6 linked regions of the Oryza sativa Japonica Group genome follow. The protein of the gene in region 1 binds, or shares a complex with, the protein of each later gene. Links are inferred from orthologs where the notes say so. Each region holds a gene or a part of one and is shown in the gene's direction. Other genes may lie near its edges. The genes, in order: transcription initiation factor TFIID subunit 6, transcription initiation factor TFIID subunit 10, transcription initiation factor TFIID subunit 8, transcription initiation factor TFIID subunit 15b, transcription initiation factor TFIID subunit 11 and transcription initiation factor TFIID subunit 13.

Region 1 (4,528 bases):
CTGCTCCTCTCTCTCTAGTTTCTCTCTCTAGCCCCGACACATTGTAATAAGGGCACCCGCAATGGTTATCTATAGGCTCTCTACAAGAGATCCATGTCAGCATATTTTCCTACTTGGAAGAGATTAAATGAAGAGAGAGAGAGTATAGCTATCTACTAATCTGGAGATAGTCTATAGAGAAAAACGAGACAATAGATTAGAGAGCTATAGATATCCATGTAGACATACCATTGAAGTGATTTACTATTAATTTAGTCTATTGCTGAGATGTACATGTTTTATAGATAGCACTTTACATTAACATTGCGGGTGCTCTAAGTGATCAAATATAGTAACCTTTTTCGTTTTAGCAAGAAAACTTGGTTTCTAAGAGCGGGTACAATAGTGCTATTAGGAACGCTCCAAAACTTGTTAATCAGTCTAAAACGAGATTAAGGAAAGAAAATCAGTGATTGAGAAAGAAGCCGTCGCTTGTTCTGGCGCCGGCGCTTGTACAGCGCTCCACGCTGTATCGGCCAGGAGATACAATAAAAAAATTTGTTTGTGGGTTCTACTGCTTGTTAATTCGTTTGAACCAAGGTAGTTTATAGCTAACTTGTAGTTAGCTTGTTGTATGAGATGCTTTTTAAGTTAGCTCTACTTGAGACATGATAAAATTTTAGAGCCTACTACTAGCTGCACTATTGACCTTGCTCTAATGGCCGCGCACACGCCGACTGCTTAACTCGGGCAACGCCCCCCTCTCCCACACCCTGCGCGCGATTAGTGCAAGACGCCCGCCGCTAATTATAGTCATTAGTGATAATTACAGTAATTACTGTTAATTATCATAATTAGCATTTTTCAAAATACATAAATAATTTTAAATTTGAGTTAATTTTTTTTAAATTTTGATATGGAAGTTTTCATTAAGTTTTCAGTTAGAAATGAAAATTTAGAATTTTGAGTTAAAAGTTTTACATTTTTGCGATGAAAATTTTTAATTGTGAGTTGAAAGTTTTTGAAATTTGAATTGAAAGTTTTCAAAATTTGAGTCAAAGTTTTGATTTTTGAGTTAAAAGTTTTGAAATTGGAGTTAAAAATTTTCGAAACTTGATTCGAAAGTTTTCAAATTTGAATCAATTTTGAGTTGAACGTTTCAAAATTTAAGTTGAATGTTTCGAAAAATAAAAAAACGATAAGGAAACGAGTGGAGTCGAAAATAAGGAAACATAGCACGTGGATTTGTGGGCCGAAAATCATGGCGAAAAAAGGAAACAACAAGTAGGCTGGTGGGCCGAAAATCACGGGAAAATGTGAAAACAGCACGTGGGCTGGTGGGCTGATGCGCGACCATACTGACGCGTGTGCGGCAGATAAGAATTTCGCAAGTAAACACCCTAGAGAGAAGTATATAACCAATTGCTCCCTAAGCTAGGAATATATCCTACGAAGTAGTTTTCTATTTTACGAGAAATTCTTGATTCACAAACGTTTCCCAGCCACACTCGGTCAAATCCTCTTCTCGTCGGCTCCGGCGTGCATGCCAGCGGCGGCGGCGGCGGCGAGAAACGCTGGCGAGGAGGCAGCGGCGAGCGCTTAGATGCTAGCGAACCAGCGAAGAGGGCACTGCAGCAGTGGCGGATAGGCGGAGGCTAGAAGGGAGCAGTACGGCCAGAGAGCTAGGGTTTGGGTAATTTGGCGAGCGAGGAGCGAGGGGAGGCGAAGGGAGAAGAGGGGGGGGGGGGGGGGGGGGAGAAAGAGCGGGGGAGGGATGAGCATAGTGCCCAAAGAGACGATTGAGGTGATCGGGCAGAGCGTCGGCATCGCCAACCTCCCCGCCGATGTCTCCGCCGCGCTCGCCCCCGACGTGGAGTACCGCCTCCGCGAGATCATGCAGGTCCGTCCCCCCCGCGCTCCCGAATCTCTCGCTTCCCTTCGGTTTTAGTTTCGTGCACTTTGGGGGACTAGGAGGCAACTTCCACCATTCCCTTCGTAGGAAAATTGCCTGCCCCCCCGAGGCGTGGATTTGTAGTTTCTGGGTGATTTGGGACCGCAGGGAGCAATTGCTTGCTCTTTGTTCTTCGTTCTCTCAATTGATTGCTATGCTCAACCATTGTGCTAAGTTGTGTGGTGGAATATTTGCGATAGACCTATTCCAATGGGTTTTGAGTTTGCTGGACGAGATGCGTTTCCATCTTGTTGTTTGAACATGCTGGTTCACACTGACTGCTTAACTGTGTCCTGCTCAATATATGTTCACTGGGTTTTTGTAGCAATGCAATATATTGGACGGTCTTCATAGCAATGCAATATATTGGACGGTCTTCATAGCAATGCAATATATTGGACGGAAGATGGTTGTTTTTTTTGTTCACTATTGTCTCTTCAAAAGCATTGAAGCACACCATTACAGAGTTTCTGGACTGTTCAATCTTCTCTCATTCGATTGCATGCTATAGCTTACTGGTAACATATGTTGGGGTTTTGTTCCTGTTTTATCACCATTTTTTTTAATTTGTATATATTTAGTGAGGTAGTGAGTCTAAGAATTTGCGTTCTATCCACTATTTACACGATAAATTCATCATTTGAGGTTTTCTTTACTGAATCTTGGAAATATGTTATTCCTATCTGATCTTTACTCATAAATTTTGGAAAACTATCATTGACAAACTACAGAGTTGTCACAAAAAATACAAATTTAACACTGCATTACCAGAAAAATACATATTTGAGCCATATCACACAATTATCGATTTAGCACCGATTTTATCATGAAACTACAAATTTTACAGGTTTCATCTATCGTGATGAACTTTTCATAAATTGTAGTTTTCTCATAAAGTCCGTGCTTTATCTGTAGATCTATAATCTCGTTGCTTAAGTTATAAATTTGGTGTTACATCTGTTGTTTTGCGATAATTTTCTGGAAGTATATGTTGATCTGCAAAATTTGTATGTAAGCATATAAATATTCAGTCACAGAAATGCCATTCCATTTTCTCCTAGGCACTATATGTATTTTATTATGCTGTGGATTGTGACAGGAGGCCATCAAGTGTATGCGGCATGCAAAGAGGACAGTCCTGACTGCCGATGATGTTGATAGTGCTCTCAGCCTCAGGAATGTTGAGGTAGTTTCTATTTCGTTGACAATATTTTTTAGGACTACTAAATAAAGGTTTTGTAGATCTAGTAACTGTTGTATGCTTGAATGCATCAAACTTCTGAGTTGGATAGCTAAATAGTCGAGCTCAGTATTTCTCGGAATCAGCTCATTATTAAGCTAAAAGTATAAATGTTTAAGAAACTTAGAGTTGACGATCTTTTCATGGAGACATGTTAGCCATAAATAAGGCAAACTCTATGCCTGTATCTGTTTTTGGTATGTCTGTTCCCTGACATATAAATGCCATTGCAATCATCTCTTGTTTGAAAACTGATACTGCAATTGGTAGAGGCTTTTGGTGTCTGGGTGTATTCGGTGGTTTCTTCCCCTCTCTTCTTCTTTAATACAAATATACAATCCTTCTGTTCCATTTGAGAACACAGCTCTCCTGTGTGTTCGAGAAAACAAATAATGTCTTTAAAGCTTGACATGTAATTCCTCAAGGGAACAGCTGAACTGAGCATAGGGGAGAAACCATATCCTTCCATTCAGCCCCCTATTTCTCTGACACCCACTAGTTGTGAGGTTACTGCAGTCCAGTAGGATGCTGATTTTACTTTGCGTGGAACTGAATGAGAGAAAGCTGAATAAGTAGGATGAAGCCCAATAGTGTACGCTGGGTAAGATGGGGGAAATAATCCATGTGAAAATACAAAATAAAATATGAGATATGTATTCATGTCAAATGGGGTGTGCTAAGCTAAATGCACTTTATGTTAGAATTTGATGATTATGTTTTTTGTTTCAAATCAAGGACTGAGAACTATGTATTAAACATTGCCAATGTGTTTATATGCTGTTGTATATGACTTCGTATGTAAAAGTTTCCTACTTTGCTTACAAGTAACATAATGCCCCTTTGCCACGCTCAATGTTAGAACTGGGAAAATGTGAAACTGTTTTTCTTTTAATTTCAGATTAAGAACTGAGAAGTATATATTAAACATTGCCAATGTGTTTATATGTTTTGTATGACTCCATATATAGGCGTTTCCTCCTTTTTTGAGTAACATAATGTCCTTTTTGGCACTCTCAATATTATCACTGGGTTGGTTTAGCGTGCTAGGTTGGTTTCTTTGATGTTACTTTTGCTACATATTTTCGTTATTTTGGTTAAAATGTTACTGTAGTGGAGTTTAGGTGGGACATGATTGCCTTCAGTGTCTAAGACACAAGCTAAAAATAATAGCATTGTATTGGATCATAATCTATTACCACAAAAACTGATGCATATGCAGCACCGCTGGTAGGAAATTTGTTGACATTAGTTTTTATGGTGGTTCTATGTTATGGTGAAGTTGGCATTAAAAAGTATTGTTTCAGTGCATTTATTTAATTGCTTTGAATTTTCACACAGCCTGTATATGGATTTGCTTC
Region 2 (4,835 bases), on another chromosome or scaffold:
AGACATCAGTGAATGTAACTTAGTAGCTGATGGCAAACATAAATAGTGGTGTTTCTTTGACTTAAGTGAAATTGTAAAGAAAATCTTGCTACTTGACAATAAATCATATAATTGACCTTTTCTTGATAGCATATAACGGTTATGTTTCCTTGTTGCAACTTCTCTTTGTATTATATTATTTGGATGATTTTCAAATGGGATAAGTCCATTTGACAACTCCGAACTCTTCGCTTTGTCTAAAATAAACCCCCAAACTCTAAAACTGAGTATTTGACACCCTCTAACTTTTCAAACCGTCTAATTTTAGCCCCTTAGTGGAAACCAACGCAAATTTTCTTATGTGGTGCCTACATGGAAACTTAGCTATAAAAGAACATAAAAAGGTGGGACCCGTAGGCCACCTCCCCTCTTTCCTCTTACTCTTCTTCTTCCTCTTTCCTCTCCTTCTCCTCTTCGAGATGAATGACGAGGGTAGAAGGCCGTTGATGAGTTCCCGAGCTTAACAAGTAGAGTAGCGAGGCAACCTCCCTGAGCTCAATGAGGCGAGTGCCGACGACTTCCCTGAGCTTGTGTAGCAGGCCCAGCGGCATCGGCTCCTTCATTGAGCTTATCGTGGGATCGAGGTTGTGCTGCTGGCACTTGTCTTCTCTGACCTCGGCAAGTGGGTGTTGGGGGGGGGAGAGCTCTGGGTCTACGATGACAGCAACACTTGGATAGGACGAGTGGCAGCGGATCTCAGAGCTTATGATGACATCGAAGCTTGGGTAGGAGGGGCCGATTACTGCCCATCAACCCTCCTTGGAACTTGCTGGTGATCCCGTCTTCTCCGTGCTCAGCAGTTCCTCTTCTCCAAGCTCGCCGCCAACCCCCCTCTTCTCTGACCTCAGCCAAGGGGCAAGCTCCACATCGAGCTTGCTGCCAACCTTCCTTTTCTTCCGAGCACGACCAAGGGGGTGGGCTCGGCACGAAGCTCTCCGCCGACCCCTTTCTTCTCTATGCTCGCATCTAGCTCGCAGCTCCGTCCATCTCGTCATGGCTGCCTCAAGCTCATAGAGGGAGGGAGTCGAAAGAGAGGGGAAGGTGAAAGAAGACTGTAGGACCTGCTGACGTGGTGTAAACCGCTCAGGGGGTATAAAGTGAATGGTATTAAAAGTTAGAGGGTGTGAAATATCCGGCTTTAGAGTATTGGGTGTATCTCTACTATTATAAAAACTGAAGATGTTTTTGCTAGAATTTTGGTTTGTCATCCATATTTGAGTCGGTTTTTAAGTTCGTTCACTTTTGAAAATACAGAACCGTGTTTGAGTTAGATTTTAAGCTTATTTCCTATTGGAAGTAAGTCGTATAAGAAATCTTTTAAAAAAACTCACATGCTAACTTCAAATTAAATACGGTCTCCTAATTGCAGCTCATGATTTTCTGAAAAAATATCCAATCAAATTTTCACAGTGAATTTTACCGTAGCTAAACCGTATAACAACAATAAAATTAAAATAGCATTTACCCGTTCCAATGCATAGACTTTTTTTTTCTAGTTTTAGACAAAAACGAAGACTTCATAGGTGTAAAATAGACTTATCCCTTTTTTTTCCAAACGGGCCTGAACTCCGCCCATCCTACGCTTATTACCAAAAGGGCCGGAGTACAGCCCACCACTCCCCTCCCTCTTCCCCCCTCCTTCTCGAGCCTCCGGCGACGACGACGACTCCCGCCGCTCTTCCTGGTCCATCGGCGGCGAACTTCCCCGCCGACGTGCCAGATCTCAAACCCCACTAGCTCCTCCGGCGAAGGCGGGGGACCAGAGGATGATGGGGAGCAACAGCGCAGGCGGAGGCGGCGGTGGCGCCATGGTTCCGGGGGGCATGGGGGGAGGAGGGCCCATGGGGGCAGCCGCCGCCGGCGGCGGCGGCGGCGGAGACGGGCGGCACGACGACGAGGCGGTCCTCACCGAGTTCCTCTCCTCCCTCATGGACTACACCCCTACGGTACGGCGCCTGCCGCCCATCTTGCCCTAGCTTCCCCCTCTCTTGGGTTTCGTGTCTGATGCGGTGGTGGTGGTGGTGGTGGTGGTGGTGCGGCAGATTCCCGACGAGCTGGTGGAGCACTACCTTGGCCGCAGCGGCTTCTACTGCCCCGACCTCCGCCTGTAAGCACCCCCATCTATCTCTCCAATAGTTCAATCTCTTCTCTCTTTCAGGAAGACTGCACCGTGCCTTCCAGGATGGGCCAATTGGTAGTTATTAAACTGAAATTCGTCCAGTGCCCGGAAATCACTGAAGAGATTTGGACTGAATTTTGCCTGATTCTTAGTACGTACAACATGGTGACAGTTAGATCTGATTGAGGCTGTTAGGATTGCATTGTAATGCAGCGTGTTGCCATTCTAGTCGAGGGAGAAAATCGCTGTATCCCTTTCAGCTTGGTGATTGTTGGTCGTCATGTGTGACAGCATGGCCTTATGAACCATAATTTTTGTGTTCTCTGCAGAACGAGGCTGGTTGCTGTAGCCACCCAAAAGTTCATTTCGGACATTGCAAGCGACTCTCTTCAGTATGTAACTTTTACTGCCTCATTCGTTTTGTTTTCCAACTTAAACGTATGTGCGATTATTTTGTTCCTTTTTAGTGGTTATCGATTCTTGGAGTCGAATTTTCGTTACCTTCAGATAGTGAATGAGAAATATGATTTCTGATGATGGTCATGAACCATGAGGTTTCTTGCATCATTCATAAATGGAGGTGTATGCAATATGCTTCATTCTTGAGATGTTGAGTAGCCTCATTTCTCCTATGCTGGCAGCTTTTTGAGATAACCATGTTGATTTTAGGCTTGTTTTCTTCATACTGTCAACTTGCATCTTCTTTGTGCTTCCTTTTTTTTGTTTCTATCATCCTTCTCACATTATGACCATGGAATGAAACATCAAACATGGTATCTTATGTCTATATTGTTAAGACAATAGATTGCGAAATATGCATAACATTGATGTGGTAGGGAATCTAATTTCAGTACTGACTGAAACTTTATGTGTAAAGTCAAGCTTCTTATGGTGTTGCTTGTATCATAACTTGTGACAGTTAAAAGGTATCATGCACACTAATTTGTTCATCACATGATTATTGTCCTGAACTAGGCACTGCAAAGCCAGGGTAGCAGCACCTATCAAAGATAACAAGAGCAAGCAACCTAAGGTGGGTTTAATTGCAGTTGGTGTACCATGGTACTACTAGCATGAAATCAGTACTTTTATTTACTGGTTCAGTCATTCTGTTCTTCAGGATAGGCGTCTTGTGTTAACAATGGATGATCTTTCCAAGGCCTTGCAAGAGGTAAACCATTTTCCTGTTGAATTTAAGCTTTCCCTTTTACTGCAGCTCACCAGTTACCACTGTACTTTACGTGATTGAAGTCACAGTTTATTCAGTTTGACGTATAATTGCAATTATTAGTTTTATTAGGACTTGAATCTCTGCATTAATAAATCTACTGTAGAATGGATTTAGTTAACCTTTTTTAGACCAATGGGATTACTTGTTAATGTTTTTTTTAATGAAACAAGTAGCCAAATTGATCAGTTGTATATGCTTCACGATGCTCACGATTAATCACAATTCAGATAGACTAATCAACTCAACAATCAGTCACAGCCTACTTGTATTGGAATATTTTACCAGAAGAACAAATGGGAAACTATTTTGATCCCTTGAGGGGATGTGCCGCTTAAAAATCATCTAAACGGTTATGAAAAATTCTAGAAAAATTTGACAACACTTATACAACATATCTATACAACTTCACAAAATCTTAAGTCCAAATTCAACTCACACATCGAGATATAAAAAAAGACAAATTCAGCGTATAAATAGTACCGCACTGTTAATATCTGAATTTGTCTTTTTGGGTTCTCGATGTGTAGGTCGAATTTGAACTTTATTTTTGGTGGACTATTAGATATAATTGTACTCTACATTGTCAATATTTTTCAGAATTTTTAACAACTATATTTGCATTGATTTTGAAAGAAAAATATATACGAGGGGACATCCCCTCGAGGGATTAGAATCCACTCCCCAGAACACATACATTATAGTACATGAAATAAGCATTTAAGCAGACCTGGGATGAGCTGCTCATATACAGGGATGAGCTGCTCATATACAGGTCTATTTGACAAATGATCTTCTATGCTTTCCCTTCCCAGCAATATTCTTGGCAAATGACTGATTCAGCTATAATCACATCATGGTCAGTACACTTATGTTTACAATTCCATGGTTCAGAATCAATCTACCTTCTACACACGAAACCTCACACAAAAGGGCATCCTTGACATGTCACAATATCACATAACTCTGGACTGTAATGCTCTACAGATGAGCTATCATTATAGAAGCTTTGTGCTTTCATGAAATATGTTTGTTCCACATACTACCAATTTGAGATTTATTTTTGTTTTCTAACATGCTGGCAGCTATCAGTAGATCATCACGTCATTTGATAGAATTAGATTACCATTGTCCAGCGTTTAGTATTGTAACTCCTAATTATCCTAATTAGGCATTTATGTTTGATGCATTTTGAGAAACTGGCACTTTTTACTCCCGTGTCAAATGCCAATATAGATCACAAATGTGTACATCAAATCCTCTATGGTGGTGCAGTAAGCTGGTAACCACTGACTATAGGCTAGTAGGCTCCTTTTTACCAAACATGTATACCAATGCTTAATTTCTGATGTGCACCATACTTATTTCCTTGCAGCACGGTGTGAACTTGAAACATCCTGAGTACTTCGCAGACAGCCCTTCTGCAGGAATGGCTCCTGCAGCAAGAGA
Region 3 (4,685 bases), on another chromosome or scaffold:
TTTTCGGATATACTTATAAGAGTAGAGTGTGCATAGGGATGTATCCGTGTATATTATGAGCGCATACATTTGTATTGTTTCTCTAAAGAGTAAAGTGTACTGGCGGTCCTTAAACTTGTAAGGGTGTGTCATTTAGGTCCCTAAACTCTCAAAATACATATCCAAATCCTAGAACTTGTCATAGTGTGTCATCTAGGTCCCAAATCGCCACAACCCCTACAGGATCTTACGTAGCGCTGATGTGGCATGCCACACGGACATGACGTGACATTATTTTGACTGACAAATAGGACCCATTTAATTTTTTTCCTTTTTTCCTTTTTTCTTCTCCTTTTTCCCATTTCTTCTCCTTTCTCTGAAGAAAGGAAAAAAAAGAAGAATGAGAAGAAAACGGAAAAGAAAAGGAAAAAAAGAAAAAAAAGAAAAGGACACGTCACGTCCATGTGGCATTGCCACATCAGCGCCACGTAGGATCCTAGAGGGGATGTATCAATTTGGGGCCAAGATGATACACTTTGACAAGTTCTGAGACCTGGATATCCATTTTGAGAGTTTAGAGACATATACGACACAACCCTACAAGTTTAAGGACCGCCAACACACTTTACTCTTCTCTAAATAAAACCAATTTAACCTTTGAGTGTCCGCCTACCCTATTAGGGCAGTCCCAACCCATAGTGTCCATAAGCAGTGTCTATGATATCATGTCAATAAGACATCACAATAGAAACTACACTCTACAACCCATGGTTTCTTAAACTAGGCCACTAATAAATACATCATCTCTCTTCTCTACCAATCATATTTATTCTTCATCTATTATGAAGATACTATTCTCTCCCAATACAAAATTTGATAGTGTCTAGTGCATAGGTTCTCGTGTTGAGGCTGTGTCTTGCATGAGACCCAGTTTCTTCCTCTCTTCACTTACTCTCTGAATTAATATAGTGCCATATAAGCTAAAAGTCCTACATGGCAATGTAGTTAATGCTATAGACACCATCCTAGATGGAGGGTTGGGGCTGCCCTTAGGGCACCCACAATGGTTATCTATAGGCTCTCTACAAGAGATCTATGTCAGCATATTTTCCTACTTGGAAGGTATTAAATGAAGAGAGAGAGCAAAGCTATCTACTAACTTATAGATAGTCTATAGAGAAAAACGAGGCAATGCATGAGAGAGCTATAGATACCAATGTAGACATACTATTGAGGTGGTTTACTATTAATCGAGTCTATTGCTGAGATGTACATGTTTTATAGAGAGCACCTTAGAGCACCCGAACCATCCGCAATGGTTCAGGTGCTCTAAGGTGCTCTCTATAAAACATGTACATCTCAGCAATAGACGAATGGTTCGGGTGCTCTAAGGTGCTCTCTATAAAACATGTACATCTCAGCAATAGACTCGATTAATAGTAAACCACTTCAATAGTATGTCTACATTGGTATCTATAGCTCTCTCATGCATTGCCTCGTTTTTCTCTATAGACTATCTATAAGTTAGTAGATAGCTTTGCTCTCTCTCTTCATTTAATACCTTCCAAGTAGAAAAATATGCTGACATGGATCTCTTGTAGAGAGCCTATAAATAACCATTGTGGATGCCTTCCATGTTGACTTTGTTTTGTATAGACCATAGAAGCACCCGATAATCCACCCATCGAGTGACAAAGCTCCTGAATCGAGAATGGAAAATCCTGGCCGTTCATTCCCCGCCGTCGGAAGATGGCCGAAATCTTCCTGTGTTGAGGCATTCCGCATTCAGCCGACACGCCTCTCTCTCTCTCTCCGCTGCTGCTTGTGTCCTCCTCGCTCTCTCGCTAGTGTAGTCAACTCAAGTCGTCTCCCTCTCCCCATTTCGCCAGCTTGGGGTTTGGATTTCTCTCCGAATTCCGAGCTCCGCCGCCTCCGCGTGCCCGATTCCCCAACGGTCAACCCCTAAACCCTAGATTTCCATCCCGATTTCGACCACCGGTGCTCGAATTCCCCCGCAATTTTGGCGCTGCCACTCCCCCCCTCGATGGCGGCGCGGCCTGGGTTCGCGGCGGTGGGATAGAGGTGCCGCCGGTATGATTGGGGCGCGGCCGAGCGCGAAGGCGAGCATGAGCAGCAGAGGCGGCGGGGGTGGTGGCCGGGCCGGCAGGGTAGGCGGCGGTGGTGGCGGAGGAGCAGGAGGAGGAGGAGGAGGAGGAGGGGGAGGAGCAGCGGCGGCAGCAGCGGGTGGAGGAGGGGACTTCGGGAGGGCGGTGGCGAGGGCGGCGGTGGCGCGGATGCTGGAGGCGGCTGGCTTCGTCTGCGCGCACCGCTCGGCGGTGGACGCGCTCGTCGACGTCCTCCTGCGGTACATCTGCCAGCTCGGCCGTGCCGCCACGTTCCACGCCAACCTCGCCGGCCGCGCCGCCGCAAACGAGTGCGACGTCATACAGTTCCTCGAGGAGTGCGGCGCGGCCTACTATGGCTTCGCGGGGGCCGCCTCGGTTTCTGCCCGTTGCCTCGCCAACTCCGCCGTCGTCAAGGATATGGCCGTGTTTGTTGGCGCGTCCAAGGAATCCCCGTTCGCGGGCCGGCCATTGCCGAGGTTTCCGGTACAGCGTGTGCCGCTGCACTCGACGACGAGCTTTGCGGTCTTGGGTAGGGAGAGCGGGATGAGCCATGTCCCGGAATGGCTCCCGGCCTTTCCGGAACCTCACACGTATGTGAGGAGCGAGTTGTGGAGTGAGGAGGTGGCTAAGGCTGGGGCGGATGAGGTGGAGCGGGCGCGGCAGCGGAGGAAAGCTGAGAAGTCGCTGCTCAGCCTGCAACGGCGTCTTGCTCTTGCAGGTGCCGACGGGTTCCGACCAGGAATGCTGGTCGATGATGCAGTCAAAGCGAACGGACTAGATGTGGTTGAGAGCAAGGCGAATCCGTTTCATGAGCGAGCTTTGCCTTATGGGGAGAAGGCGGTGTCCGAGGTTACCATGCCTGGTGTGGGGAAGACATTCTCTGTTGTTGAGGCCTTCGCACCCGCATTTGAAGAATCAAAAGGTGGAGAATTTGATGAGGGTATGGATCAGGGCCAAAATGATAGTCAGACTCAGAAGAGGGTTGTTCCAAAAGAGAGGCCACCGGTGTATTTTAGAATTGGGATTGATAAGAAGTCAATGGTGATGGCACTGAATTCGAGAGCTCTGGTTGAACTGAAGGATCCCTGGTTCTTCAAGGAGGATAAGGAGCAGAGGGCAGAGTTGATACTAAGGGAAGCAATGGATAATCCACATGAACTTACTCAGCTTTAACGTTCCTGTATGTTTGCAGTACCCACAGAGCTGCATGGTGAATTTTGGACTGGCTAAACTAGGGACTTTTCAAATTCATGTTGGAGCAGCATTTGCCAAGATCTTGAGGTTTGTTTGTTTTTTCACTTAACTGTTCCTGGCAGATTTACTTCATAGCCATTACGTGCATCTCTATTAATTTGAGTGTATAACTGAAAACCACATAACTACACAAGAATATCCTTTTTTTTGTAATATGCACATTTTGTATTTAAAAGTACAAAGTTATCACATCACGAGATAACAGAGAATGCTACATGGATGGTTTATGTGTTGAATATATGTGGTAGTCACATTCTGTTATGCTTTTCCTTAAAGCTTTGGTTAGAAAAATAGCATCCACTGTATACAGTTCAAAAATTGCGAATCTACCTTCCACTGCTAGTTCTGATTAACTGGATTCCTTGTAGGCTACCACCACCGCACTAATATCCTAAATTAGAAGGATTGCTGATACGCACATGCAATCTATCTATCTATTATATACTAAAAGGTCATTAAACTTCCTCAAAACGCTCTCAAGCCGCCATATGGTGCTCTAATAAACTACTTCCTCCGTTTCACAATGTAAGACTTTCTAGCATTACTCATATTCATATAGATGTTAATGAATCTAGCCACATATGTGTATAGATTTATTAACATCTATATGAATGTGGGCAATGCTAGAAAGTCTTACATTGTGAAACGGAGGAAGTAAAGAAAATCGTAGAAAATCTGAGAAAAAAAAAGCAAAACATCTATCCCTTGATTTTCACTTAAATCAGTGGATCTTTAAATAAATCCAAACACGAAAAGTGACTATACTGTTCCACCTCTCCTTCCATGGTATATATATGTACGTACGTTAGTACGTAACTTTTTTTCTTTTCAATGTATATAGTTGAGACAATTATTATTACTATTATTAGTGATAATAAATTTTAAATAAAAGTTACTTTACAAACATAGAATAATATATCAGCATATAACTCTTTTACAAGTATACATAAATGAATTAGCTCTACAATACTTGAAAATAAAGTTTACACCATTATATTATATTATGTACCCATTATTTTAGATTATTTTATTAATGAAAATATTTGTCCATTTCTTTTGTTAAGTAGTCATGGTTGGTTTTACAAAGTTTCATTAATTTTTGTGATATAAATTATAGCGAACTTATTGATTATAATTTACATGACAAAACTATATTGTTAACCGTATTATATAATAGAAATAAACTTTACTTAAAAAACTTCAAAATTTATAAGTAAACTATACATACTACTTAAATCTATATAATTATGGTCTTATTTCAAACAAATATTGTTTCAAAGAAAACAATCGAACATGCAAAAGAAGAAAGAAATTAGCTTCAAACAA
Region 4 (4,656 bases), about 15 Mb from region 1:
AATTGTGACAATATTATACGTACAATGATTGACCTGTCGAAATGAAAAGAAAGACAATATGTAATGATTGGTCACCATGGGCATTTTTAAGAGAAGAAATCGCATGCTTGTAATCTGTTTGGCGATTGGTCAGTCTGACATAGATAACGAATGTTCAGAAGGATGATATGCAGATTTGTCAGAGAACGTGCTGCCCGCGTGTGTCCTCAAGACTTCAACTGCAATATCTGGTTCTCCGTGTAGGCAGAGAGATGTTCCCCAACGCAATGCCGCGCAAAATAATCAATTTTGCCGGCAGAGCGACAACTTGTTTTATAATCTGAAAACGAACTGACATCTTATTTTATCTGTAAAATGTGCAGTTCATGTAGGAGCATGATGTGCGTCCATGTTTTGTCTGAAACCGACTGAAAGATAAACAGAGAGCACTGGAGTAAGAGAATTTTCTGATTGTTTCTACATAGGAGTAGGAGAGTTTAAGGCGAAAGTTACTGGATGGAAAGGAAGTCTGACTAATCGAGCTTACCCAAAAATTCACAAAACGTAGCATCTCCATCCCATCAAGAGCAATATGTGCTCTAGTTCTTGTTTTTCATCTTGAGGGAGAAATTATCCGATTAAGTTTACATGTCTGAAGAGCCTAATCATTTTTGTATATCACTTATATGTGCTGTCCTAAAGATTTGATTTATGGAAGAGTAGAAGACAATTCTCACTTCACATTCCAAACAGGTCATAAATCGACAATATCGCTTGTTATTGTGCGGTTTCCGCGGTAACCGGACTTACCTTTGGATACACTAATAGTAACTTATCCCGTCAAATTCAAATAAATTTACATAATAATATGAACTTCTAATAGCATCGTCTAGTTTTTCATGGTTTACCGTGTGATTACCGTGCTTACGATTGGGTGCGGTAACTCAACCCCTGATGGTAAGGTTAGCCCTGCTCTAACTAGGAAAAAACAATAACAAACAGATATATAAGACACAGGTTTAACATCAGTACTCTTAACTATTCCCTCCGCTCAAAAATATACTACCTCCATTCTAGAATATTCGTCGTTTTGAGTTTTTTATTTGTAATGTTTGACCATTCGTCTTATTTAAAAGATTATGTTATTATTATTTATTTTGTTTGTGACTTGTTTTATTATCAAAATACCTTAAGTATGACTTATCCTTTTTAGGTTTGCATTATTTTTTAAATAAGACGAATGGTCGAATATTGCAAGCAAAAAGTCAAAACGATATCTAATTTGGGATGGAGGTAGTAATAAATTTTGACACTTTCATTTGTCCACAAAAGGCTAGTGAATATTATTAATGGGCTGGGCCAAACACCCACCAAAGAAAATTCCCAATGGGCCTTGAGTGATCCCCAATATACAGCCCATTACATGTACACCCCAGCAATCCAGGCCCACACGCAGCGAGAGAATTCGACTCCCGTTTAATTCCGGCCCAAATCCATCTCTTTCGACTGCTTACTTCTGCCCTAATCCACACACGTATCAGAAATTCGGAATACTCTGTTCGCACTTGCCCTTCCGGAACGCTCCCAAACCCTAGGCGCGTGACCATGTCGGGGTCGTACGGATCCGACGACTACCGCGGCGGCTACGGCGGCCGAGGTCGCGTCGGGATCCTGCGGGTTGTGTGCGTGCTTGCTTCTGGATCTGCTCCTGACTGGCTTGTGGTTTTTTTTGTAGGTGGCGGCGGAGGCGGCCGTGGGAGGGGAGGTGGCGGAGGAGGAGGGGGAGGATATGGTGGTGGTGGTGTGGGAGGTGGATATGGTGGTGGTGGCGGAGGATATGGCGGCGGTGGCGGAGGGTACGGCGGCGGTGGTAGAGGTGGCGGTGGAGGAGGAGGCTACGGCGGCGGTGGCGGCGGCGGGAGAGGTGGGGGTGGGGGTGGCGGTGGCCGAGGTGGCGGCGGGAGGGGTGGAGGACGTGACGGTGACTGGGTTTGCCCAGACCCGAGGTTTGTTTCGTTTACTCATTTGACGTTGTCTCGTTTGATTCGACTGTGACTGATGAAATCGTGGTTGTCCCGATTGTCTTGTAAATTATGCTACTTGGCCATGAAATCTAGGGTTTTTAGGTTGTTAAATTATAAATTATTGGGTTATTTGATAATTTGGTTTAGGATTTTGCATGGGGCATGTGTGAAGTGTCCTACTAAATTTTTGTTTCATCGTAGTATTGTGAGCATCAGAACTGCCAACAAATAGTTAACTGCATAATTCATTCTCTATGAGAGCTCCCTATAATCTTAGGTCACAAGTGCTAAATTTATGTTGAACCTCTAGATACATAAATATTATGTTATACTTGTCTCCCATGATTTCTTCCCCTCCCCTATGTTCTATTTTCCTTGGTATAGCAGAGTGGCAGAGAAGAAATTTCATATATGTTTTTGAAATGAGTTCATGGTGTTATTGGAAGCATTACAAAATACAGTAAATAAGCACTACAAAATACAGTAAATACTTTCTTTTATGAATATGTTTCTTTCAATATGGCATTAGTTGTCTTGCTGAGTTGGTTATATTTTGCAGAATATTCGGTTGCAATTTCATTGGTTCTCTTCCAATATTCCTAATATATTTGTTTATCATTCTTGTTCCAGTTGTGGCAATGTGAACTTTGCAAGGAGGACTGAATGCAACAAGTGTGGAGCACCTTCTCCTGCTGGAGGTGGAGGTGGAGGTGGAGGTGGAGGGTATAATAAATCTGGTGGAGGGGGTGGAGGCTACAATCGTGGTGGTGGCGATTTTAGTTCTGGAGGTGGCGGTGGCTACAACAGAGGTGGAGGAGATTACAACTCTGGTGGCCGTGGTGGTGGCACTGGAGGGGGAGGAAGAGGAGGAGGTTACAATAGAGGTGGTGGCGATGATCGTGGATTTGATGACCACCGTGGTGGCAGGGGTGGTTATGGGGGAAGAGACCAAGGGAACAACCAAAGGGGAGACGAAAGTGGTTATGACGCTGGTAGCTATGGACAAGTTCCTCCTCAAGGTCCTCCTTCCTATGGTGGGCCTGGTGGTGACTATGCAGCACCTCCAAGCTCCTATGGAGGCAATAATGCATACAATTCAGATTCTGCAGTGCCACCTCCTAGTAGCTATGGTGGTGGTCCAGGTTCATATCCACCAAGTTATGGTGCACCACCTCCGAACCCGCCATATAGCGGTGGTGCTCCAGGTGGCCAAGGTAGCCTACCTCCTTCATATGATGGTGGGTATGGTGGTCGGCCTATGCCTGGGGGTGGAGGCCCTGGTGCACCTCCACCCTATCATGGTGGTGGTGGTGGTGGTGGTGGCGGCGGCGGTGGCGGCGGATACACTGGCAGTGCTGCTCCAGAGCCAGCTGCAAAGGTTAAGCAGTGTGATGCAAACTGTGATGAGACTTGTGATAATGCAAGAATTTACATCTCCAACTTACCTCCTGATGTGACTGTTGAGGAACTGCAAGAACTATTTGGAGGAATCGGCCAGGTATACTTTGACCTCCTCTTGAGCTCCCACATATTTAGTGTTTATGAACTGTGCATTTCACGATTCGCTCACTGAAATATTTTGTGCATTTTATGTCTTTTTTCTAACCTCATGTTTTTCATTTTATGTGTTTCGCCATAATATCTTTTTCCAGTGTTACTGATATTACTTGTTGGAATTTAAGTAAATTTACAAATCAGTATTCAGATGATGTTTATAATCTGTAGTTGGGCTTGTTAACATTTTTTTCCCCTTTTGCTTTCACTACTGCTAGCACATTGCAAGTCATAGTTTTGCACAAAATCTGCTCCATCTGTTGTATACAGCGCAGTTAGAGCGAGCTTATTACATATTGTTTTTTTCCTTGCTAGTGGAGAAGTACACCCTTGTGTTTCAATGTGCATAATTAAATTTGGATATTTGTTTTGATGTAACATAATCATCTTGCAGTAATGATGCTCTTTTTTTTTGTAGAAGTAGTAGTACTGTAATTTTAGTTATAACCAAGCCATTCAATGATTTTGTAGTAATTTTGCTTTACTCCCATATTGGTATTTTATGCCAAATAATTCGTGGCATATCACCCCATGATGTTAATGTAAAATCTTTGATAATAAAGTAAAGTTGGTTTTACAGATTACTTAGTGTTCCTAGCTAAATTTATTGCAAGAAATTAATTTCTTTAGTTTTGGGGGTGGTAACTGCTTGTGTTTCATGGCTGTGTTTTGAGTTTTTGCAACTGCTTTTTTCTTAAGGTTGGAAGGATCAAGCAGAAACGTGGCTACAAAGACCAGTGGCCCTGGAACATAAAGATCTATACTGATGACTCTGGAAAGAATAAAGGAGATGCCTGCCTTGCCTATGAAGATCCTTCTGCTGCTCATTCAGCTGGTGGATTCTATAACAGTAAGTTCAGCATCGAGATTATATTATGTGTGTATAAATACAGTGTTCTGCAATTTTTAATGCATGTTTTCTATTGATATTCCAGATTATGAAATGAGAGGCTATAAAATTAGTGTTGCGATGGCTGAGAAATCAGCTCCTAGAGCTCCTGCATATGGTCATGGGTAAGTACTTTTCAGTTCTGTAGATGCTAAATGCAGATTGTGGAATGCTGTGTGCCTATGTCCAAGCAAGACAGCTTCTATTATG
Region 5 (4,670 bases), about 10 Mb from region 1:
ATATATATATATATATATATATATATACACACACACAGCTTTGGGAGTCTTCGAGAGATATACACGAGCTGGGCATCTCTTTTTGTTTGTCGCACCCCCCCCCCCTCCCCCCCTGTTGCTGAAAGCGATCAGCGCAACCGAAGCGAGGAATAATAATCGGCAATGATAGCGGGAGTTTGGTCAGACGAGCCTCAGACGAACAGCCGGTCGAATATTCACTCTCATCACCAGCAAAGCGGAAAAAAAAACACGACGATATATGTGGCTCTCGTCGTTTTATATTCACATGTATGATGTATCATACGGAGTATGATAGTATATATGTGTGTGCATATAGTATGTTGTTTTTTATATTCGTGGAGCAAAGTGATCGGCGCCAGAAAGCACCTTTGTGCCGTCAATTTTATTCAGGGGAGAGAGAGCTGCAAGAACTAGCGAAGAATATTGTTGTGTGATCTGGGTAAGTAATCTAATGGCGAGGCTTTGCTTGGGCAAAGAGGAGGTCAATGGTGAGCGAGCGAGAATCCTATGCGTTAGGATTAGCGGCAATAAACAAAACGGCCTCCACTAAACAAGGCGCGATACGGAGGTAATGCAAAAGCTGTGAGAGGGGGGCAAAGCAAATCCTATCCTCCTCCTGAATGCCCAAATCCCAGCGTGATCGATCGGGGTTGTTGTTTTTGTAGCTGCTTAAGCTTTTTATTGCACACGTTTGATGCATCGTTCTCAGGATGGGTCTCTCGGTGGGTCAGTGCCCACGGCTTGGGAGTTTTCTGGTCCCGAAAACCTGTTGCACGATGTGATACGTCTCGAACGAAAAGATGAAACTTTTTTGTTGCTGTTCTGATGATGGTAGTAGTAGTAATCCTGTTTTTTTTTGTTCCTTTTTTCTTTACTTTGCGCCCGGCCATTGTAAGGTCCGCATCGGAGGTAGGCCACATCACGGTTTCAACTGTGTATAAGCGTGTAACATCTGCCGTTGCTGAAAGAATGCTCCTCTGATGTTGTTCTCTGACGTAAAAAAGGAATCTAGGATTATATGTGATATATTCTAGTATAGTGTGTTCAAATTTATGGTATTAGGATGTGTTATATCTAGTACTAAGTTGGTCTTTTATAAGACGGAGGGAGTACGTCGTTAATATGTAGGTTCACGAACTGCAAAATTCATATGTCAGTTAGAGAATTTGTTTCCGCCGCTGCTGCACGCGCCGTGAGGCGTGAGCTGCTCAGCGGTGGCGCGTTCGGCACGAGCGATTTGATTCACCGGTGAAAATTCTCGCGGCCGCCACGGAGAAATCGGCCCAGAAATCCGGCCCGAGAAAAAGGCCCACGCGCGAAGCAGCCCACCAAGCCCGGCGGCGGCGAGCAGGTAGGTCAACCCCGGCCCAAAAATTTTCAGAAGACTCTGGACTCTTGCGATTCGTCTCCAGCCGCGGCCATGAAGGACCCGTTCGAGGCGGCGGTGGAGGAGCAGGAGTCGCCGCCGGAGTCGCCGGCGGCGAACGAGGAGGACGCGGCCGGGGCGCCCGAGGGATACGACGGCGCCAGCGGGTCGCGCGGGCCTCCGCTGCGGCTGCCTCCTTCGAGGGCCGCGCCATCGGGCTCCGGTGGTGCCGCCGCGGCCGCGGCGAGGGGTAAGGTGGTGCGGGTCCAGAAGGAGCAGCAGGAGGAGGAGGATGACGAGGAGGACCACATGGAGGTCGACCTCGACAAGCTGCCCTCCGGCACCAGCGACCCCGACAAGCTCGCCAAGATGAAGTAGGTGCTTGGCTGCGCTCATCCTAAACCTAGTTTTGCCTTCTTCTGGTGCGTGCTATATATGAAGGGTTAACTGCATAAGGATCAACTAAATTCAGGAACCATATGACCGTCTGTTGAGTATATACGTTCTTTGATCGAGTTCAGTGTTTTAGCGTCCTTCACCCTTTTAACTTTGGTTAATTTGTGACAGTAAGATTTGTACTAGTGGAAATTTCTGAATTGGAGTAAGGATTGTTCGTGATTGTAGTTACAGAACAACCTGACATTATTCACTTCATAAAGACTGTAGTCCCAGTTTCCAGCTATATGTGAAGCGTTTACTGGCATAAAGATCAGTTAAAGTTAGGAACCATATGACTGTCTATTGAGAATATGTTCTTGATCAAGTTCAGTGTATTTTGGTGTCCTTCACCGTTCAACTTTGGTTAATTTGTGACAGTAAGATTTGTACTAGTGGAGATTTCTGAATTGGAAAAGGGGATTGTTCTCAATTGTTTGTGATTTTATTTACAGAACATCCTGACATTATGCACTTCTCAGATTTATGTTCCAATATATATAGTGAAATATTAAACCCATCTAAATAAGAATTCTATGTTTGAAAAACTATGTACTCCTTTTCCAGTGCCATACTGTCTCAATTTACAGAAGACCAGATGAACCGGTATGAGTCATTCCGCAGATCTGGATTCCAGAAATCTAACATGAAAAAGGTATGATCTCATTCCCAACATCCATTGATTTAATATCGTACAAGTATAAACTGCAATATCATGTGCGTGTGATGCGTGTGGCGCCTCCATCTGAATTGGCTTCAGTGTTCCCCTTTGCAATAAAAGCTTTCCACAAAATGTGGATCACATTAACATTTTCTGCTTTCTTAAGTCTTACAGTTACCTTATTTTCTGTTGAATAACACCTGTTCTATTTTGGTTCATGTTTCTTTTGTGGATGCATACCATGAGTTGTACAATGTACCATGCATGTCTTGTCCAAATTGTTGATAGAGCTTCATGTACAGGACAGTTGATTTCGCTCCAAGTTGTAGATAAATACATTTTTGCCTATGTCATCGTTTCTACTGATTGTAAGTGATGTACACTCTCTAAATAAAAAACCAAACTTGGTCAATATTCTTTTCTTCAATTTATAGGCAGGCTAAGAAAGCCTTTTTGTAGTGTCAATCCAAAGTTTGACCTTTTTCTCGGTAAAAATGTTACTTTTGGCTGTTGAATGCCTGAAGTTAACAATGCTTTGAAATTACGTTCTAGTCAGAGGGACAAGTGCTTTAATGTATTTCCTCATCAGTGGTTGAAATATGAGATCACTGCGTTATTGGAATGTTTTTCGGAGTTGCTAGAAATATGGCGCCATATGCTACAGTCGATTTTTTTTAACCACTTACACAGTAGTTACACCTCATTTACACCCCATTTACATATGTAATTAGTATGTAATTTCGAATTTACATATGTAATTTTATTACTTACATATGTAATTTTGAGACTTACATTGTAAATACACTAAAATTACATATGTAATTTAGGGACTTACAATGTAAATACATGCCGACTATTTTTTGATGAAAAATATGACGCCATAAATATAGCTACACCCATGTTTTTTTAAAGTTGATTTGATATTCTGTTTCCATGCAGCTATTGGCGAGCATTACTGGCAGTCAAAAGATTTCTCTACCAACAACAATTGTAGTATCAGGAATTGCAAAGATGTTTGTTGGTGAGCTTGTTGAAACAGGCAAGTCTAGAGTAATTATCTTATTTACTTTGTTGCTCATAGAACACTACCACCAAAGCACCTATGATTTTGATGTATGCTCATCTCTTAAAGCAAATCACTCTTATGACTGATCTTTTGTAATCGTCCGTGTTCAAATGTCCTTTTCTGCTTTCCATAAACTTGTTCTCTGACATCAGAAGAAAAAGGAGGGATGGCTTTATTCACTTTATTTTTGACAATTCGATTGTGTCTGTTGCAGCTAGAATAGTTATGACTGAGAGGAAAGATTCTGGACCAGTAAGGCCTTGCCACATCAGAGAAGCCTACAGAAGATTGAAACTTGAAGGGAAGATCCCACGGCGGACTGTTCCCAGGCTCTTCCGTTAGAATTGAAGCATCTCTGTTGATCCCAGTCGACACTGAGATGGTCCTTTCTGCGGTCAGATGCGCGGAAAGAGAGAATGACATGAGATGTATTTCTTCAGCTTTGTGAAATTGTTACTGTGATTTCTGTCGCAGCAAGGGAACCAGAGCAAACAGTACGTACAAGCTGAAGTACTACGGTACTACTAGCCGTGGAAAATTCTATGTATAAAGTATTGGCCGTAGGCTGTGAATTTTCAGGCTTATGAATAGTTGAACTGTGTACTATGCTGTTTGGAGTATGCGCTGAATCTGATTATATGCTTGTCTGCAATTAAATGCGACCCTCGTTTTAACCCAAACGATGTGTCTTTCTGCTATTTTTATACGTAGAACTCTTGCCGTTGTAACTAATCGATTTTTTAAACGAAGTGTCTTTCTGCTATTTCAAGATCGGATGCTATGCAGGATCTTATGTCCTGCAGGCTGCAGCTTCGGCGGGAGCATTTACGCCGGCATTGTGTTCCTTGAGCATTGTGTGTATTGGTATTGTCGATGATTCTGAAATTAGGCAATTGTTTATGGGGATCTCATCCTTTCTTATTTTTCTTCGTTTCATTTTTGGAAGTGGCTGGCTGCATCTAGTTACTTGACATCACTGGTACATCTTGATCATGTCTTCTTTCTATTGATGTTTTGGTGTTTTTTAATTATTTTGAGAACATGTTTTGGTTCAGGCCTAGGTGTTCACACTAAACTTCTCCCAAACTCCTAACTTTCCATCACATCCCATCCAAAACTTT
Region 6 (4,679 bases), about 5.2 Mb from region 1:
AAGAGAAAGTTGGTGGAGAATTTGAATGGTGGAAGATTGTGATTGGTTGAGAAGAGATTGTAGGTGAAGAAGTTGTTATATTCTGGGATAAATTTTGAATGTTAGAAGTTGTTATATTTTGAGACGGATGGAGTACTAAACTCGGTGGCATAAAGTCAATTCCTTAGTACCAAAGATAACAAAAAAAAAAACAAAGTGGGAGGTAGGCAACAAGTTTTAGGAATTAAAAAAAAAGGGCATTGAGGAACATTCTAAAAATGAAGTTGCCATTGAAAAAAGATGAATTCATATCTCCACCCGTTTCTCATTAGGTCCATATCTTCCAAGAATATTACTTTGGAGTATTGAAAGAGTTAAGATATCAAGTTGCAAGTTGTCATGTCATTTAAGACCAGAGGTTTGCCACTCTTTCTCCTTGTGCACATTACCACCACAACCACTAATCTAGTTGTAGGTCCCATTGCAAATCCTTGTTCATTCATCGTCATCGGTCCTTAAGCACATCGCCATGATCTAATTTTAATGGCACTTAGATTTAGCCATCTCTTTAGCGGCGGTGGCAAGTGCTCCAACATTGACTTCTAACTTTCTATTGGAAACGTTTAGCTATTTGGTTATCATTATTGTCGAGTTGTTGACGCTCTACTCTCTATTATCAGATCTAGCCATAGGTACAATAATTTGCCTGTTCCTCGTCCTTTCCCTATATGAACCATTTTCTTCACATTTCTAAGTACTAACTCATTATCCTTTTTTAAGTGCTCTAATATTTTTGAAAGTGTTATTTCTCCTTTATCTTTAAGTGGCTCATGTCTTCTTTATCTATGCTCTCCTGTATCTCAAGTCTAATGTTGCAATCACTGACTGAAAATCACCCAGTTCTCGTAAAAATGCCGTGGGGACTGGTTTACGAAAACTAAGTGGTTTTACTCCCTCAAATATAGCAACCTTGTACCTCTGTCCAGATTCATTGTACTAAGATATGTCTCATCTAGTACAGGTTGTTATATTTTGGAACGGAGTGAGTAGCAATTTTCGTATGAAATTGATTAAAAATTGCTATTCTTATTGTTTTTTTTACCAAACCGATACAAACCGGTCTTCACTCGAAAACGGTAATGCAAAACTGGACAATATGGTGTGTTGCAAAATTTCTCAAATGGCCCGTTTGGTTGGAGAGAGTTTTCAGGAGGGATTGGGAGTTTAGAGGGATGAGGCTATTAAGTGTTTTGTTTGGTTGGGAGACATAAGAATTTTGGTGGGATGTAGATCCCTCCTTTTCAATACGGCAGGTAATTGGGAGGGAATTCCTCCTTTACTTTGTCTAAGCAAATCTCAGCCATCCATTTTTATTAATGACCTAATCTCTAACTAAACTCCTTATCAATTTTTATCATCTCTACCAAACAAGATATTAGGATTAAAAATTAAATTCTCATCTTAATCTCATCCGCAATTCCCTCGTGTAAACTCCAAATCATACCATACAAGCCGCAAGGACCGGAAAATTCTCGAATCGCCGCCGGTACGCTCACCAGCTGCTTCCTTCCCTTCGCCGCCGGTACGCTTCCGCCGCGATTGCCTCTCCCCCTTCCCGGCCTTACGCTCCGCCGCTAGTGTGAGGCTGACTCCACTCGTTTCCTTCCAGTTCGCCCCTCAGAAATCCATCACGGCTGTGCATAGTGCACGCGAAAGCCCTAAATCCAAGCGGCGGCGAGGAGCGAAGGGAAGGGGAGGGGAGCGCCGCCGGCCGTCGGGAAGAGGGGGCGGGCGGCGTCCGTCTCCCTCCCTCACCCCTCGCGTCCTTCGCTCTTCCGCCGGGATGCAGAACCCTGGCGGCCACCACGCTAGCCCGGCCTCGGCGGCCAAGTCCAAGTCCTCGACCGCTGCCGCCGCGTCGGCGTCGGGCCAGGGGAGCTCCCACCACCACCACCACCACCACTCCGGCGGCGGCGGCGGCGGCGGCGGCGGCGCCGACGCGTCCGCCACCACCCTCAAGCGCAAGCGCGGCGTCTTCCAGAAAGACCGTACGGCACTGTTTTTTCTAAACTTTAGTACTGCTGCTGTTCTTCGAATTCGTTGTTTATGCTGCATTTTTCCCCGTTCTTGCAGTGCAGCACATGATGTACGGATTTGGGGATGATCCAAATGTAAGCCCGACCTCGATCTATGCCTTTCATCTCTTAATTTTCAGGCTAGGAATTGTTTGGGGATAGGATGCAATTTGTGTACTTTGTGTTGTGGAACATTGGAGGTAATTAACACCGACAACGACAATAATTGCAAGTAGGCCATGGATTTACAACACAACTACATGATTGCCTAAGAAAGAATGGACATGCTGTTCTACCTTTTAAGTTAAAATCTTGTATGTAAATGACATCTTTCTGTTGGTTTTGCAGCCGCTTCCAGAAACTGTTGCACTTGTGGAGGACATTGTTGTAGAATATGTCACTGACCTGGTAAGCTTTCATTGTATTTGTCTTTCTTGTTTTCTACTGAAATTACATTTATGAAGGTTGTATGGATGAAAGGAGTTTATTTGGATTTCGACATCCTTATTTGTTGCCTTATTTAATTCAATTCTAGTGTTCTGGAAAGAGTGATTAGGTAGTTTTCTGGAAAGAGTGATTAGGTTCAGTGCTTCTGTTTGTCGGGAAACATGAAGCCTTTTATGTTTTGAGAATTAATAGGGGCTTCACTTTAACCTATAGTTCATATTTGTGTAGAGCCCAAGGGCTTGAAGTTTGAACACTGGTTTCGGGAAAAAAGAACTACTCCCTCTGGAAAATAAGTTGCCAGGTCTCTACTGGACAAAAGTTCGATTCCAAAATTTTGAATCAAAAAACCAGTTACCAGCTAGTTACCGGCAGTAAACCAGTTTTGTGATAAAAATATTGGATTCGAACTTTTTGCATGCTAATATGTAATAATTCAGATCCGGCATATGAAAGTAAACTAGTGTACCTGTACATGAAATTTCAAGAAAATATAAAGTTATACTTTATTCTTATGGTCTCAAATCTGAACTTTAATTTAAGTGTGAACTGTACTTTGGACTAGATTTTATTTCCTAAGTTGCACATTGGATTAGGTATTATCAAAGGTTTTCACTTTGAACCAGCTTATGGTATCAAATTTTGCACTTTGGACCATTAGTCCCACACGTCAGCCTCCATATAGTCATCTTCCTCGTCAGTCCTCTCGTCTCCTCTCCTTGTGCGCCATCATGTGCTCTCGTTGCGGCAGCTCATTTGTGCAGGCCGCTATGGTGGAGCATCTTGCCAAGCCTTTCTCAGCTAGTCCACCACAAATAAAAGCCTTAATTAACTTTTTCCATCCTCAGTTCCCTTCTCAATCATAAACCACCAGATAAGTTGAAGAGCTTCATACAGTGACAAACCTTCCAGACCTCTCCATGCTAATCACCTGACCATCCCCTGCTCTTGCACCCACTGGCCGGAACACCGTCTCAGCGCTATGGTGGAGCATCTTGAGCTCAAATCAGGGGCTAACACTAGTGGAGCTCGAGGCTGAGCAAAAGCTGGAGCTGGTGGATTACTGTGCATAGGCAGAGTGTAGCGATTGTGATGGCATTGGTAGAACTGCGGGTGGAGAAAGAGTTCTACAGACAGTTATATAAGCCCAAATTGCAACATAGAGGCAAACATACATAATCCAAAGTAAAAACATTGGCTAGAGCATATGGTTCAAATAGAAAGTTGGGTAAATATTCCTAGCCCAAGGTGCAATTCACTCCAATTTAAATTGTTCTGGCTGGTACACTCCATACCTGTTCAGCAACGGTTATAGTTATCACCAGGATTTGCATCTCTTGTGGAGCCCTTTTTGTTAATGATTCATAGAGCTTTGCCATCTTTTGGCAGTTCTTCCCTGCTTAAATTATCTGTAAACTATATTAAGAAAGGCATTTTCTTTAAAGTCTCTATATAGTCTACTTTCCTGCATGATATGGAACCTTGAGTTTGTAATCGTGCATAGTGTAAATGAAATGTACCTGTGACATGGGGTGAAGATATCTAAACATGCCCCACTTGTCTGAATATATTTTTGTAGATAATTTGTCCATGCGTGATCTGAATACGCGACGATATGAATTTATTAGGTCTGTTTACCCTGCAGACTTACTTTGCCCCAGGTTGTTGGACAAAATTTTTACATGACTACAATCTAGTATGCACTCTGTAACAGCAGAAATACACACCAAACACAAGAATTTAGTTAACTGTAATTTTTTATTTGATTTTAAATACCTGCATGTGGATAAAACCATATGTGTATGTAATGTTTATTTATGATTCCGTAACTGTTGACTGTATAATGTGCACTTTCTTAGGTCCACAAGGCCCAGAACGTTGCATCAAAGAGGGGCAAGCTCTTGACAGAAGATTTTCTTTACCTCATTCGCAAGGTACATTTCTGAACTCCACATGTGAAGTTGCTTGCAATACAGTTGATTAGGTCATATTAAAATTTATCTCTGTACTTTCTTTCTAGGATGTGCGGAAACTGCACCGTGCCACTGAGCTACTCTCCATGAATGAAGAGCTCAAGCAGGCAAGAAAAGCTTTTGATGTGAATGAAGAGACATTGGCAACAAATAACGAGTGATTTCTCTTGGAGAAACCCCGGCAAAAACTATGTGTAGTACGGAAACT

The links.
Region 2: transcription initiation factor TFIID subunit 6 (region 1) and transcription initiation factor TFIID subunit 10 share a complex: the UniProt entries of both Arabidopsis thaliana proteins name them as parts of the TFIID complex. The link is inferred for Oryza sativa Japonica Group from reciprocal best matches to the Arabidopsis thaliana genes TAFII59 and TAFII15.
Region 3: transcription initiation factor TFIID subunit 6 (region 1) and transcription initiation factor TFIID subunit 8 share a complex: the UniProt entries of both Arabidopsis thaliana proteins name them as parts of the TFIID complex. The link is inferred for Oryza sativa Japonica Group from reciprocal best matches to the Arabidopsis thaliana genes TAFII59 and TAF8.
Region 4: transcription initiation factor TFIID subunit 6 (region 1) and transcription initiation factor TFIID subunit 15b share a complex: the UniProt entries of both Arabidopsis thaliana proteins name them as parts of the TFIID complex. The link is inferred for Oryza sativa Japonica Group from reciprocal best matches to the Arabidopsis thaliana genes TAFII59 and TAF15b.
Region 5: transcription initiation factor TFIID subunit 6 (region 1) and transcription initiation factor TFIID subunit 11 share a complex: the UniProt entries of both Arabidopsis thaliana proteins name them as parts of the TFIID complex. The link is inferred for Oryza sativa Japonica Group from reciprocal best matches to the Arabidopsis thaliana genes TAFII59 and TAF11.
Region 6: transcription initiation factor TFIID subunit 6 (region 1) and transcription initiation factor TFIID subunit 13 share a complex: the UniProt entries of both Arabidopsis thaliana proteins name them as parts of the TFIID complex. The link is inferred for Oryza sativa Japonica Group from reciprocal best matches to the Arabidopsis thaliana genes TAFII59 and TAF13.

What each region holds. Positions count from the first base shown.
Region 1 is NC_089035.1:18,531,679-18,536,206, reverse strand, and holds the start of transcription initiation factor TFIID subunit 6, read left to right. Parts: upstream 1-1,450; 5' UTR 1,451-1,753; coding exon 1,754-1,879; intron 1,880-3,029; coding exon 3,030-3,116; intron 3,117-4,508; coding exon 4,509-4,528. UniProt on the Arabidopsis thaliana protein: TAFs are components of the transcription factor IID (TFIID) complex that is essential for mediating regulation of RNA polymerase transcription. Required for proper pollen function. May stabilize the interaction of TFIID with selected promoters.
Region 2 is NC_089043.1:20,160,420-20,165,254, reverse strand, and holds the start of transcription initiation factor TFIID subunit 10, read left to right. Parts: upstream 1-1,654; 5' UTR 1,655-1,805; coding exon 1,806-1,985; intron 1,986-2,081; coding exon 2,082-2,146; intron 2,147-2,487; coding exon 2,488-2,550; intron 2,551-3,133; coding exon 3,134-3,191; intron 3,192-3,278; coding exon 3,279-3,329; intron 3,330-4,761; coding exon 4,762-4,835. UniProt on the Arabidopsis thaliana protein: TAFs are components of the transcription factor IID (TFIID) complex that is essential for mediating regulation of RNA polymerase transcription.
Region 3 is NC_089037.1:23,460,410-23,465,094, reverse strand, and holds the start of transcription initiation factor TFIID subunit 8, read left to right. Parts: upstream 1-1,773; 5' UTR 1,774-2,072; coding exon 2,073-3,278; 3' UTR 3,279-3,386; intron 3,387-4,685. UniProt on the Arabidopsis thaliana protein: TAFs are components of the transcription factor IID (TFIID) complex that is essential for mediating regulation of RNA polymerase transcription.
Region 4 is NC_089035.1:3,329,913-3,334,568, forward strand, and holds the start of transcription initiation factor TFIID subunit 15b, read left to right. Parts: upstream 1-1,526; 5' UTR 1,527-1,584; coding exon 1,585-1,636; intron 1,637-1,714; coding exon 1,715-1,985; intron 1,986-2,633; coding exon 2,634-3,501; intron 3,502-4,256; coding exon 4,257-4,407; intron 4,408-4,492; coding exon 4,493-4,571; intron 4,572-4,656. UniProt on the Arabidopsis thaliana protein: TAFs are components of the transcription factor IID (TFIID) complex that is essential for mediating regulation of RNA polymerase transcription.
Region 5 is NC_089035.1:28,595,687-28,600,356, forward strand, and holds transcription initiation factor TFIID subunit 11, read left to right. Parts: upstream 1-1,400; 5' UTR 1,401-1,441; coding exon 1,442-1,761; intron 1,762-2,389; coding exon 2,390-2,477; intron 2,478-3,422; coding exon 3,423-3,522; intron 3,523-3,763; coding exon 3,764-3,891; 3' UTR 3,892-4,229; downstream 4,230-4,670. UniProt on the Arabidopsis thaliana protein: TAFs are components of the transcription factor IID (TFIID) complex that is essential for mediating regulation of RNA polymerase transcription.
Region 6 is NC_089035.1:13,333,437-13,338,115, forward strand, and holds the start of transcription initiation factor TFIID subunit 13, read left to right. Parts: upstream 1-1,518; 5' UTR 1,519-1,561; intron 1,562-1,648; 5' UTR 1,649-1,822; coding exon 1,823-2,027; intron 2,028-2,112; coding exon 2,113-2,150; intron 2,151-2,402; coding exon 2,403-2,462; intron 2,463-4,357; coding exon 4,358-4,432; intron 4,433-4,518; coding exon 4,519-4,632; 3' UTR 4,633-4,679. UniProt on the Arabidopsis thaliana protein: TAFs are components of the transcription factor IID (TFIID) complex that is essential for mediating regulation of RNA polymerase transcription. May be involved in polycomb repressive complex 2 (PRC2) mediated repression.